Linked DNA regions of Caenorhabditis elegans. The protein of the gene in region 2 interacts with the protein of the main gene of each other region in a pairwise test. Each region holds a gene or a part of one and is shown on either strand. Other genes may lie near its edges.

Evidence for each region.
Region 1: the proteins of rabi-1 (region 2) and M01F1.8 interact in a two-hybrid assay, tested with the Caenorhabditis elegans proteins (one large-scale study listed by BioGRID).

Annotation. Positions count from the first base shown.
Region 1 is NC_003281.10:3,498,873-3,505,576, forward strand, and holds M01F1.8 (VWFD domain-containing protein), read right to left. Parts: upstream 3,674-6,704; 5' UTR 3,665-3,673; coding exon 3,503-3,664; intron 3,458-3,502; coding exon 3,263-3,457; intron 3,196-3,262; coding exon 3,001-3,195; intron 2,210-3,000; coding exon 1,909-2,209; intron 739-1,908; coding exon 605-738; 3' UTR 501-604; downstream 1-500. Other genes in the region: M01F1.9 (Arrestin_N domain-containing protein), read right to left, coding at 34-184; rpl-13A (Large ribosomal subunit protein uL13), read right to left, coding at 4,017-4,213, 4,261-4,413, 4,466-4,724; lias-1 (Lipoyl synthase, mitochondrial), read right to left, coding at 4,907-5,235, 5,292-5,527, 5,572-5,873, 5,918-6,015, 6,065-6,164.
Region 2 is NC_003280.10:8,581,116-8,588,347, forward strand, and holds rabi-1 (GDP/GTP exchange factor Sec2 N-terminal domain-containing protein), read right to left. Parts: upstream 3,972-7,232; 5' UTR 3,936-3,971; coding exon 3,865-3,935; intron 3,481-3,864; coding exon 3,276-3,480; intron 3,097-3,275; coding exon 2,437-3,096; intron 2,158-2,436; coding exon 1,990-2,157; 3' UTR 1,919-1,989; downstream 1-1,918. Other genes in the region: F54C9.9 (Protein KRI1 homolog), read left to right, coding at 1-70, 172-279; arl-1 (ADP-ribosylation factor-like protein 1), read left to right, coding at 895-1,005, 1,052-1,234, 1,294-1,542.

The DNA.
Region 1 (6,704 bases), on a different chromosome or scaffold from region 2:
TTTTAATTTTTTGCCAACTTTCCATAAAATTACCGCAAATAAGCTGAAGGCTTCCCCATGCCAGTTGCTCGACAACTCCTTGTTTTCCACGTGACAAATTGCTCACTGTCACAGTGATTCGAATGGTTTCGCCGGCCAAATATATTGCCACCTCACGATCCAATGTGGCTGAAACCTCCAGCATTCTGCAATTTTCAGATTTTTTTTCGGTTTTTATAATAAAACTTTTAAATAGATTTTTTTGCGCTATATTTCCAGCTCTTTACAATTTTTTTTTGAGAAAAAGTGCGATTTTTCCGCTATTTTAATCAACATTTTGGGTTTTGTTAAATCGAAAAATCGAAAAAAATTGAATTTCTGAGATAAATATTTTAAAAAAACCTATTTTCATATGAGAATCTGTAAAATAGACAAATATTGAAGCAGATACATAATCCAGAACTCAAATCTGATAATTTAGGAGAAAATAAGGAAATAATGGGAAAAAACACAAAAAAAAATAACAAAATTCAATTCATTTCGTACCCGAGGGGGATTTGAATACCGGTAAAATATACACGTGGGATGCGAAATAAAAAAAATAAATAATTTTAAAGATAAAATATTAAACATCGACTTCTCCTTCACGCATGACAGTCAATTCTTCGTGTATCTGATTGAGATATTTGATTTTCAGAGCTCCTTCGAAGCAAGGCTGCGAGAAAATGCAATTCGGATTGTTCTTACGGTAGGTGTTTGCTGAAAATTAAAGTATTTTATTGGAAACCGTTAATATTATGGGAACACGGTTCACTCTGAAATCGACGTTTAAAACGCGCTCCACTGCCAATTTCAAACGCTCCGCCTCTTACAGTTGGATCTCGTTAGGTATTTGGCGGCAAACCCGGGAGGCCCCACGAAAAGGGGAACTGAACGAAAAGGGGAAATTGGCACCGTGCCAACGCATAAAACGCACTTTTTCTCGAAGAAAACGGTACAACGATGCTCCGAAATTAAGCGTCGCGTGTTGTTAAGCGTATCTTCTAGAAGAAAAGTTCGAAAAAAGTCGTGCGTTGAATGAGAAAAAAAGCGTTTTATGCGTTGGCACGGTGCCAATTTTCCCTTTTCGCATTTCCCCTTTTCGTTCAGTTCCCGCTTTCGTGGGGCCTCAAACCCGGAAATTCGAGAGGCCCCACGGAAAGAGGATCTGCGAAAATGGGATCTACGAAAAGTGGAGTTAGCAAAAGGAGATCTGGCATTGTGCCAAACGCACAAAACGTATTTTTTCTCGAAGAGAACGATACAACGATGCTCCGATATTCCGCATCTCGCGTTGTTTAGCGAGTTTTCCAGAAGAAAAATTTCAAATATCAACGTGCGTTGCAGAAGAAAAATTGCATTTTTTTTTCAGATCTCCTTTTCGTTCACCTCATTTTTCGTGGGACCTCAAATTCAAGCGTTTTTAAGCATTTTTTTCGTCTTTTTTGCTTAATTTTCCGCGGGTTTTAATAAGTTTTATGCCGAAAATCGATAATTATTTGGACAAATAATATTTTTAAGCCATCATCTCGACTTCACGTGGAGTCAGAAAGTCCCATTACGCTTTGATCTTCCAAAAATGCGGGAGAAGATGCGCAGACATCTCATCCGATTTCGCATAATTAAGAGCGTGATGACGTCACAATTTTTCTGGAAAAATATTCCCGCATTTTTCGTAGATCAAACCGCAGTGAGACATTCTCACACCGCGTAGATTTAGAAATCATTGAAAACGGCTGAAAATGTAACAAAAAAGACAAAAAATGATTGAAAATCTTTGAATTTTCGCATTTTCCACCAAATACCCAACGAGACCCATCTGTTCGGGGCGGAGCGTTCATATTGAATTGGAAATTTTTCTGCGTCCCAATAATATTTCGAATTTCTAACCAAAGTTCCGGAATCTCGCCGCACAAGCCTCCTTTGAACTATCAAAATAGTCGAATCCATCGATTGGTGGTGGCTTCTGAGCTTGAAATGCACTTTTAACTGGTTGTGGAGTAACCGGTTTTCTCAAAGGTCTCTGTACAGTGACTGGAGTTGGAGTGGGGGCTATGTTCCAAGCGGAAGTAGACGGAACTTGGGGGTTTGGAGGAGCTAAAGGACGTTGTTGAAGGGGAGCTGGCGGACAAACTCCGGCTTTTGGAATTACTCGATAAGTTTGGCGGCCGTGAGCGTTGGGAACATCTATCTGAAAATAAATTAATTAGATATTTACCATAATACGGAATTTTTTCGACATATAACTACGTATTAGCTATAATTTGGCTCTTCTTCTGGCATTTTTTGAGGGTTTTCCAATTTTTTTTTCGATTGAACACCGCAGAAATTCTAGAAAATTACCTATTGCCTATCCATGTTTTTCCAACATTTTTCATTAAAAATTAGTGTGAAAAAATAGAAAATCCCTTGATTTTTCTGAAAATAACGTTGATTTTAGTTGAAAAATTTGAAAATGTACTATAAAATTACCTGGAAAGTGCAAATCAGTGATTTGCATCTTACAATTAATTTTGAAGCACATTTTCAAATGTTTCAACTGAAATCAACGTTTTTTTCAGATAAATCAAGTGAATTTCTATATTTTTACACTAGTTTTTAAAGAAAAATGTTGGGAAAATATGGTGCAATAGGAAATTTTTAGACTTTCCGAAAATAATGCTTCATAAAGTCGATTAAAGTTTGAAAATCCTCAAAAATTGCGAAAAAAGAGCCAAACTTTGAAAAAATCTGAAATTTCCGCAGCTTGAATATAGTTTTTTTTTGAATTATCACATATTTTGGCTGTTTATCAGTTATTTTAAGCAAATTGAATGCCCAGCGACTAAAAAAGCGCCTAAATCAGCGAAAAACTTCCCAAAAATGTTAAAAAAAAAGGGAAAATTCAATAAAACTGAATTCGAAAACGACTGCGAAAACGACAAGCTGACGAAATTTTAAATTTCAACAAAATTTTTGACGTTTTTCTCAAAATTTCAATACCGCAATATCATGATATTCATCAGTAGCCAACGCGGCTCTCCAACAGACTCCTCTCTCATTCGGCGCTTGCTCTCGTGCAACAAATTTGACACGTTGGCCCGGCTTAAACATTTCAGTCAACTTCTCAACGTCAGGACGAACAGTGGCTCGAGTCACGAATACATTGGTTGTCAAAGGCTTAGTATAGCCTGGAATCTGAATTTTGTAGTCTTAATAGTTAATTTCGTATTAAAATTGCTCGTTATTCCACGTTTCCACAAACCTTGGCAAGAGTTGGCGGATTTTTGGTATATTTCCAGTCAACGAACATATACTGAGCTTTATCATCGGGAATATTGATAACTGCACCCTCAGCAACCAACATTCGTCCTTGTTTGATAAATTTAAGCTCAGTGCCAACCCAAGCGAGTTCATAGTTTGCCATTTGTGATAGCTTATCGCCAACTTCAATATCTACCTGAAACATCGGGTTTTATTAAAGTTTTCCTGGAAATAAGCTTACAGTTGTAGCTTTTCTAGCATTGAATTGAACTATATCGTCATGTTTATATCCACGAGTGAGCAATTCCTTCTTAAAAAGAACACCTTTTCCATCATAGCGAACCATCATCATATCGTGTGAAACAGCGACGACGGAACCTTGCTTATGAAGGATTGTAGCCATTTTGTAGCTCTGATATTAATAAAAGATGATATTCAAAGAAGAGGCTCCACGAGAAGAGGATCGGCATAAAGTGGATCTAGCAGTGTTTTAATAAAAATATCTCTTAATTTTTTAGTAAAAATAGTGTTTTTTCGATTTTCCGTAAAATCTAAAATTAAAAACCTTCAGTTTCTCTGCCCTTAAATGTACTGGCAATTTCCAAATAAATTTCGTGGGACCTCTCGAAAACATGCAGTGAGACAGAAATATGAAACAAAGACTCTCAACAAGTAACCTGAATATGTTTTGAAAAAACAGTAGTGATATGGTCAACAATTTTATAATACCAAACAAAACAGATTTGTGCATGGATTTAATTGTATCCAAGAGCCTCGATGATCTTCTGGTATTGAGCGATCTTTGGGGCGGCATTCTTCTTTGCTTGAACGGCGAGCTTGTCCATCTTCTTTTTCTGTTCGAAGTAGGCGGCTCCCTTCACCTTTCTCTTAGCCTCGAGCTTGGCAACAACATCCTGGAATTGCCATCCGACCTCGTGCGATAAGCGTCCAACTGAAAATTAAATAATCGTTGTGATCAAAAAAATTATAATAACTCACCGACGCAGAACTTTCTTCTTGGTTGAAGTCGGAATCTGCTGGCTGATGGGGCATGGAGAGACTTGGTCTTCTGGTATTTGGCTGGAACTCCTTCGTAGGCGCGGAGGTTCTTGAGAGCCTCGTTTCCGCGGTTGGTCTTGTGTGGGAGCATTCCTGAATAGAGAATTTATTAATTTAAGTACAGATAATGTTTAAAATCACTCACCTCTGACGGTACGCCAGAAGATCTTTCCTGGAGCACGGTAATGGAAGGCTCCACGGGCTGGGTTGATGTTACAACGCTTGCGGAGGAAGCTCATGTACTTCAGCTTGGAACGGTGGAAGTTTCCGGAGATGACGATCTCTTCAGCTCTGAGGACGACAACCTTGTCTCCTTGGAGAAGCTTCTTTGCAACGATGGAAGCCAACCGACCGAGAAGGTGGTTCTTTCCGTCAATGATGATTGCTCTGTTCGACAGACCCATCGTTTACCCTGAAATAAATACTGATAAGAAGGGGAAAGTTTAGAAATACACGAGAGTAAAGGAAGAGAGATAAATCGAAGCGAGAGAACGCGCATAACAATAAATATATGAAAACTATTTCGAGAATTTATTTGGCAAGAATCCCGCACAAATTCTTCTAATATTTACATATTTCAGTAATCTTAATTTTGTCTATTTCTCAACACATTTTTCAAATAGAATTCTCCGGCTTTGTACGAAGAGCGAACAAGAGGGCCAGATGCAACGTAAAGGAATCCCAGTTTTTTCGAATATTCTGCCCACTGGTCGAATTTCTCGGGGGTCACCCATTCTTTGACAAGCAAATGACGTTTTGTCGGCTGCATGTATTGACCGAAAGTGACAACGTCAACATTGCTAGCTCGAAGATCGGCCAAGCACTGCTTTATCTCGTCTTCAGCTTCGCCCAGTCCTAGCATAATCGATGTCTTCGTGATTAGCTTTGGGCTGACTTCCTTTGCGTATCGAAGAGCTTAAAAAATATTCAATAATATTTACGAGATTCTGAAAAAAAAAAAAGCTGCTTACCGTCCAAAGACTGCCGATATTTAGCTCGTGGATCTCTGACCCATGGAGTCAGTCTTTCAACCGTTTCAATGTTATGTGCATATACATCGAGTCCACTGGTAGCCATTTTCTCCACACTGATCTTATCTCCAGCGAAATCGGGCAATAAGCATTCGATGAGAAGTTCAGGCTTCTTGAGCTTCATCAGCTGTACTGTCTTGCGAAGATGATCGGCTCCACCGTCTGGCAAATCATCCCTGAAAATTACTTTGATTAAAAGCTCAAGATACGAATAAGTTACCTGTCAACTGATGTTAAAACAATGTATTCGACACCCCATGAAGCAACGGCGGTCGACGTATTTTCCGGTTCCATAGGATCCAATGGTGGAGGAGCTCGAGCAGTTTTGACCGAACAGAATTTACAACCCCGAGTGCAGGTATCTCCCATCAACATGATTGTCGCTGTTGCTAGACTGTCATCTGATCCTCCCCAGCATTCTCCAAGATTTGGGCACCGTGCTTCCTGACAAACAGTCGCTAGTTTGAGATGTTTCAACTGCTTTTTTAGACGACTGACATTTTCGTTTTCCGATGGAAGAATCTGAAAACAATTGTGATGAGGGGCAAAAAATTGATAGGCTATACCTTTTCTTTCTTGAGCCATGGTGGAAGTCGCAAACGTCTGTCCCCTTTCTCCAGCTTCAGTTTTCCTTCGTACTTCTCAACAGCCTCTGCCACGGATGCTAAAATTAATAATTATTTGATTATGAAACAATATTGTTTGAGTTTTACCTGATGAAATAAAATCCTGAAGCGATGGTCCATCTTTGACGAGAACTTGCGGTTTTTTCTTTGTGGCTGCAAGTCCACGGACCCATACCCGAGCTAGCATGCTTAAACAATCTACCGGTAATAATTAAACTCCTTGTGTTGAAAATCAAGAGGGACCCCCTACAACTGAAATTCTGGTTGAGAAATAGACAAATTTGGATTTTGGGAACATTTTTCCACTTTTCCTACCTAGTTTCTGACAAATCTCGCAGAATAAGAACTACAATCGATAATTAGCACTATTAATCGTTTAAAAATTAAAAATTCAATCAATTTTATGCAAAAAATCGCGCAAAAACGTGAAAAATCAGGCGAAAATCGTGAAAAAATTTTAGGATAGCGGAAAAAGCCATGCGTTGAGGTTCGATGGGTCTCGCCACGATACGCAATCAGACGTGACGGTGTATGCACAGAAAAATCCACCGTAGTCCGCAAGGCCATTCGCAACATTTTTTTTCACTTCAACAATCAAATTTAACTCATTTTTCCAGCAGAATCTTGGGAATTTTCATAAAAACCTTAATAGTGAGGTCCCTTTTGACTTTTTACGTGGTTTATTCGTGATTTTGATCATAACTAGAGTTCTAAAAAGGATAAAACG
Region 2 (7,232 bases):
AGAACCCGAAGCTGCTCACGAAGCTCCAAAAGAAGAAAAGAAGAAGACAAGAAAGAGGAATAAGAATAAGGTGGGAAATTCAATAATTTGAAACTTTTGTAAAATTGAAAAAAAAACATGAAAAAAGTTTTAAAAAAATTAAAAAACTATTCAAAACTCGAAATTTTTCAGAACAACGTAATCGCTGAAAAGTTCGGACAAGGAATGACGGATTCTCGCGTGAAAGCTTATGGATTGAACCCAAGTCGTCTCAAGAAGGGACTCGTTTATGGACAATAATCATCCGGTTGTTTTTTTCCTAATTGTTTTGTTTTATTAGTTCATTCTAATTGTTATTTTTGTGTTTTGTTACTGTTATTTTTTTTATTATTATGAGGAAAATGAAGTGTTTTTTTTGCATTTTGATTAAGTTTTTTTTTTCCTTTAAAGGTTAATTTTACCTTTATATTATCTTTATTATTAAAATTTTTCGCAACTCACCTACTTCCTCATTCTCCCACACTTTCAAATCCTAACCTTCTTTCTTCATTTCACAGACTGACATATTTAGTGCTCGCTTCTCTCCAAAAACATAGTCAGTGAGCATTTTTGAGAGAGTTCTTCGACCCTTGCTAGGTCCATCCTTCCTGGCTCCTTTTGCACCAATCTCTTCCGTCTCTTTTGTCTTTGAAAAGTACGGAATGGTGCTTTCCAGTGTAAAATGAGAGGATTTTGGTGTTATTTTAATTTATTTCGCTAATATTTAAGACTATTTATAAGAAAAAATTAAGAATTTATTTTCTAGCCTTCTACGTTTTTTGCTCGTAAATCCACGTTTACTTGTATTCCTATTTTTCAAAACGTTTCAAAATATTTCCGATTTCAATTTAAATATCTGTGTTCAGATCAGAAGCAATGGGAGGAGTAATGTCATATTTTCGTGGCCTCTTTGGCGCCCGCGAAATGCGTATTCTCATCTTGGGACTTGATGGAGCCGGTAAAACGACAATTTTGTATAGGCTGCAGGTTTTTATTTCTGGCTGAAAACAAAACCATATAAGCTAAGTTTCAGGTCGGTGAAGTTGTGACCACGATTCCAACAATTGGTTTTAACGTGGAACAAGTCGAGTACAAAAATTTGAAATTCCAAGTCTGGGATCTTGGAGGACAAACATCGATACGGCCTTATTGGAGATGCTATTATGCGAATACTGATGCAATCATTTATGTTGTGGATTCTGCTGATAGAGATCGAGTAAGTTTGAAATTTTATTTTATTTTTTGTAGTAAGGATTTTAATATCAACTGTTTTAGGTTGGAATCTCTCGTCAAGAACTTGCAACAATGCTACAAGAGGATGAACTTCAAGGAGCTGTTTTAGCAGTTTTAGCCAATAAACAAGATATTGCTGGATGTTTGACTGAAACTGAAGTGTACAAAGCATTGGGATTGGATGCTCTTCGTAATCGTACCATTCAAATTTTCAAGACATCTGCTTCAAAAGGAGAAGGGCTCGACCCAGCGATGGATTGGCTGGCGAATCAATTGCAACAGAAAAAGTGATCAAATTCACGTGAATTCGAAGATTTATCATCCAAAATGAGCCCAGAACAAATTGTCTAAAATCTTAATTTTCTAGAATTGTAGATGATTTCTGGGCACTCGTAATACATTTTAATTCTCCATATTTTGTTTAGCTGCAAACACGAGGTGTGTCTTTCTCTCTATAATTCTGTGATTTTTCTTCCTTTTCTTCTATCCTGTTCTGTTCTTTCTTTCCTTCCTTTTTTGTCTTCAAAAATCTCGTTTTATTTAATTTCTATCCGCTTAATGATTGGTTGTTCTATTGCCTTATCCCAATGTTCTTGAGATGATCCGTTTTATAGTTGTTTTTTTGTAAAATGTAAAAACGAATAATTTATACCACCAAAAAATTTGTAATTGAATTATTTATTTGTATAAAAAGTGTGAAAGACCTGTAGTTTCAAATTATGGTAAAATACTATTAATTCAATGATGGCGTATGTTGGAACGCGGGACAAATCCTAGCCCCAGTTTGGCAAGTGACATGTTTTTCCGCAAGTTTACAACGTGAAAATATGAATCTCGAGGCCCGGGTTTGATCAAACCTTGGGACAAGTATCGGATACACGTGAAGAAGTCACAGACTGCGGCAATCTGTAAATCTTGAGTTAATTGAGAAATCAAGATTACGGTACCAGGTCTCGGCACGACTGAAAGTTTTGAAATTCAGGTTGCGAAAAAAAGTGTGCCTTTAACGAGTAAGGTAGTTTCTATTACGTTTTCTAAGTAAAGGGTTTCGAAAGAAAATAACGAATAGAATGGCAAAACTGTGAGAAGTGAAAACTACCGTACTCTTTAAAGGCGCGCACCTTTTTGGCAGTCTCAATTAAAATTATCAATCGTTCCGAGACCAAGAAAAGTGGAATAACTCACCCTATTCCTGGCAATTAACGAAACATAATGCCATTCTTGTTCCTCATCACCAGTTCTTACTCGATACGGACAAAACCTTGAAGCATTTGTTAATGCACAAATCCTTACAGATGGTTTCAGTTCATTTAATGGTTCAAGTTGAACACGATTCTCTCGAATTGCCTTCATTATTTCTTCTGATAACTCAGAGTTTTCGAATAGCATACATGGTTCAACTTCTTCAACGGTAACTCTATCAATAAATGGATGAGATGTCGTCGGATGTCCAGCTTCTCTCCAAAATTCAAATTCAGAAAAAAGAATTGGATCGATCTCTTCAACTGCATTTGCTTCTTTTTGTTCTCTATCTTCTGATGGTGTTAGTGTATATGTTGATGTAGATGGAAGTGATGAAGCTTTCTTTTTATCTGATACATTTGCAGCGTCTTTTTGTTTTTTTGATGATGAACTTGATCCATTGAATAGTTTTGATAAAGTTGATTTATGTTCTGGAGATGTTGTCTGCTTGAAATGGTTTTGACCCATTCCTGGAGCAGATATCAATTCTTTCAATGCACGTACTTCTGCTTGAAGAACTTCAACTTCAAGTCTTGATTCGGTTAGTAGTTTTTCTGCTTTCTCACGACGAGCTTCTGCTGTGTTTACCATTTTGTACGCCTCCTGTAAACTTGAAGATGTGATGGGAGTTTTGAGACTTTTTCATCGGTTTTCAATATCATTCTTATCTTTTTTACTTGGTCAACTTTCTAAAAATTTAAATTATCTTATGAAATTTTGAAAATCAAAATCGAGAATTTTTATAAGCTAATTTCTCAGGATCGGAGTTGTACTGGTCTTACCTGAAATAATTTTTCAGTAAGTTCTTGAACTTCTGCATCCACTGTCACTTGAATTTGTGTCATCTTTTTATCTTTTTCAGCAAGCGCCGTTCGTGTTGCTCTGAGCTCAGCCTGCATTCTCAAAAGCTCCTCAGCCCTAGGACTCATTAGCTCAGAGTCGGATGATGTCGAGGCAGATGATGATGTTGTGCTTCTGGCGGAGATTCTGAAAATTTAAGTTTGAAAGAGTTACTCGAATAATGTTTAGGGATGACAGCATTGTTGAGTTAGATTTGTATTGTTTTTGTAGGCAATTCAGTTGCCAGAGTCTAGAGATATCAAACATGGGTAAAAGTGAAAATGGTAGTGTTCCACAAAGAAAGGCAAGGCATTAACAATGAAAAGTTCGGCACTTCGTTCCGCAGATTCACGAAAATTACTCTTTAAGGAACCTATGAAACCGGAGAAGAAGAAGCACAGTTACATGTGGACTACTGTGGTCATAAAATACTATATAATGAATTATATTTCATTAAAAGAAATTACATAAAAGTGTATAATAAGAATCATTTACAAATTGTCAGTAAATTAATTAATATAAACATCTTACCTCACATTATCCTGGGGATCGACTGACAAATCGAGATGAATTGGGTTCAGAACAGAAATTGTATCAACCATTTTTGCATAATTTGTATTGCTTTGATAGTTTTAATTCTGAAATTAAAGTAAAGTATTAATGTATGTCAATGATAGAAAAGAGAAGATGTCTGTAGATGAAAAAGAAACGGAGATGTATGTTTTTTTCATTGATAACGTAATACAGATAGATTGAAGACAGGAAGAACGGGTTTTGGTGATGTAACGAAGGGGAATGAAAGTAAAAAAGGGAGGCGGGAAAGACTGGAAGAATAAGGTTCCTTTATAATCCCGAATGGATTATAAAGAAGACAAGATGTTGAGAAGAAGCATTGCGAAATGATTCTGAAATATCAGGGAATTCATGAAAAAAACTGGGAAAAAAGTCAGATGATTCAGAGAAAAAACACGACGAAGATGAGGATTGAACTTTGGGAAAGATAGAAAACAGGAAAAGAGAGAGAGAGAGAGAAGAGATGACACATGTGCTCACAGACAAAGATTCTTCTATGACCAGAGAGTAACAACAATAACACATAAACACAGAGATTGATTGGAGAGAAATTTTGAAGGGCAATTGAAGTTGCAAGATGTTCCTCAGAGCTTTAAAACGAATGGGGCATCGGATCATAATAATTTGATAATTTTAGATCTCGGCTAGAGACTCGAGCAGAATAATTTCATGCTATTCATTATTTGTTTTCGGAACCTTCATTTCTAAAACAGCTACAGTAAAGCTTATTCTAGTTAGGTATGTAACAAAAACATCTAGAGCATATCACATTTTGCAAGATGAATAAAAACCTGCAGCCTATACAAAATTGTCGTTTTATCGGCTCCGTTTTGAAAGCTCATGACATTGGTTTTTTGCTAGCAATCTGAACTCCATTTTAATTGACACCTGGATGCTTAACTTTTATATAGTAACCTTGAGAACCGTCAAAAAGTGGCGATTATTCAGTTTTCTGGAAGTCGAGGACAAAACCATAAACGATGATTTCCAATTTTCCAAAATCGAAAAACTAGATATAGAACATCAGTAAGCAATACACTGCCCTAAAAGTTCCAAGTTATCTCGATTAGAAAACATGAAAAGTGAACAAAAGGCTTGTCCTTCTACGCTTTTTTTACATGAAAAAAGTGCAAAACGTCCTTGGTTTTTCATCAAAAGGTTAGTTATACGACCACTAATTTCAAATAACCCTGTCCCAAAGAAGGAATGGAAAAAAAAGAAAAAGAAGTAAAATGAAGAGAAGAAAAAAGTTAGCTATTCATGAAGAAGCAGTTAGCGAATAGGAAAGAAAGGAGCCACCACACGGAAAAAAGAAGAAATTGAAATTTCGTGAGAAAAGTGTAATCAAAGAAGTAGAAGAAGTAGAAGAAGTTAGAAAAAAAACGAAACAAAAATAGAAGACTACAAATTTTTTGGAAAAAAAAACAAAAGAAGAATCGAAGTCACCTCGTAAAAAAATGTAGATCTCGTAAGAGCTGTCCGAAAGTACCACAAGATAATACTCCGAAGCTGAAAAAATGGTTACAGACAACGTTTTAAAATGTTTGACATTGTAGATATGTGAAAAGTACAAAATTGGCTTCAGTATAGACTTTTTGTTGACTTTGTGGAGCCAATGGAGCACGGGTTACATCGAATCATACTTGTCCAATCAAAAATTGGAACCTATTCCCATCAACTTTTCTTCCAAAAAGGAGACGAGTACAGCAAAACAGAACAACACGCAGTGTTTATTTTGCGGTTTCGGTTTTCTTCCATTTCTCCGTCTAGATCTCTCAACACTATGTGTGTCTGTATTGTATTGGTAGGTATTGCAAAGAGGAATCCGATCAAAAGGGAACGGCGGCCAGATTTTACGGGCAAAAAAGGTACTCAAAAGGGCTTATACAGTCACTCTTTAGAAAAAATAAATGGCGTCAGATATGGAATGTGGATAGTGTTGAAGTTAGAGCCATGTATCTAAATGAGAAACTAATCGAAGGTTTTCTACAAGGGAAAAAGTATAATTAAGAGTTAGAGAAGTTTTTCAAGAACAAGTTTCAACATTTCACACAGCGTTGGTTTTCGTACCAAAAGCTGACATGGTTAGTGATTTTCTGCGTTTTTTATGGTTTTGTACAACCTAAAACCGTCTTAAAGCTTAACACATGTTCTGTCGTATGCAAAGAATGGTGAATGAAAATAAATCGAAGAACATGTTTTAGGATGTGGTTGGGTTAGCAATAAGGTCATTCGAATTTACCGAAACTTGTGAATATACTTAACAAGGATCTTCGTTTTGACAGTACTATTTAGAAGTTTATAAACTTAATGTTTTTAAAACTTGATTTTAAAGAAAACTTTGAATAATTTTACAAAAAAGTAACCTATGCAACAGTAGAAAATATCCCAACAACATATAAAATTAGCCAAAATCAATCGAGATTTCTGTTTCTTTTGGTTCAATTAACTTTCCACAGCCTCACCACACTAAATTCAAATAATTAGTTAATTTATAGAATCAGGAAACTACCGAAAATGGCCTATATCAATCAAGAAAGAAACTAAAAAATGATTCAGTCCTCTCGGGCCTTCAAAATATTAGAACTTTATTTGGTTTCAAACTGCACAACACAGTGATCATTTTTTTAACATTCAGCCAGTAAGCTTAAGTCATTTTCTGGGAGAATTGTGCATTTTTCAACTATAACAAACTCAGTTGAAATGTTACAAGGGACTTTTGGATTTCAAGTGATGATATAATTTTGAAATACCAAGCAAACAGAAGCTTCGAGAGAAAATTAGGTAAATCGAATTCAGAAACAGATTCAATTGGTGGAATAGAAAACAGAAAGAAGAAGAAGAAAAAGGGAATTCGAAACGAAAAGTTTGCTTCAGAAACGGAGGAAGGAAACGACAGAAGAAGGGACGACAATCGCGTGTGTTTTGCCTAAAATGGGACGAGCAGGACCACAAGGAGAATGAAGCTTTGAAGCACTGTCTGCGTCTCCAATTTCCATAAACTGTCTCAATATTTCAAGAGAACAGATGGGTGTCGCGAAGAATCTAAACAATCGAGAATAGTTGAAGAAAATGAAAAGAAAAGGAAGGATGAAACATCATCATAAAGATGTGCGGAGATTATCTGAAATGCATTGGGATGGGGTGGGAAGAAATAAGAGAAAAAGAAGGAGATAAAGGTTCAGAAAGTCAGACAATTCACTTATTCTCATGGGATCCATTAGAAGAAGTGTGGGTGAAAAAAGAAATTGAGAACATTTGTTGGAAATCTGAGTGTGCATCTTGACTACTACTGCTCTAACGATTAGAGTTTTCTAAGATTATTA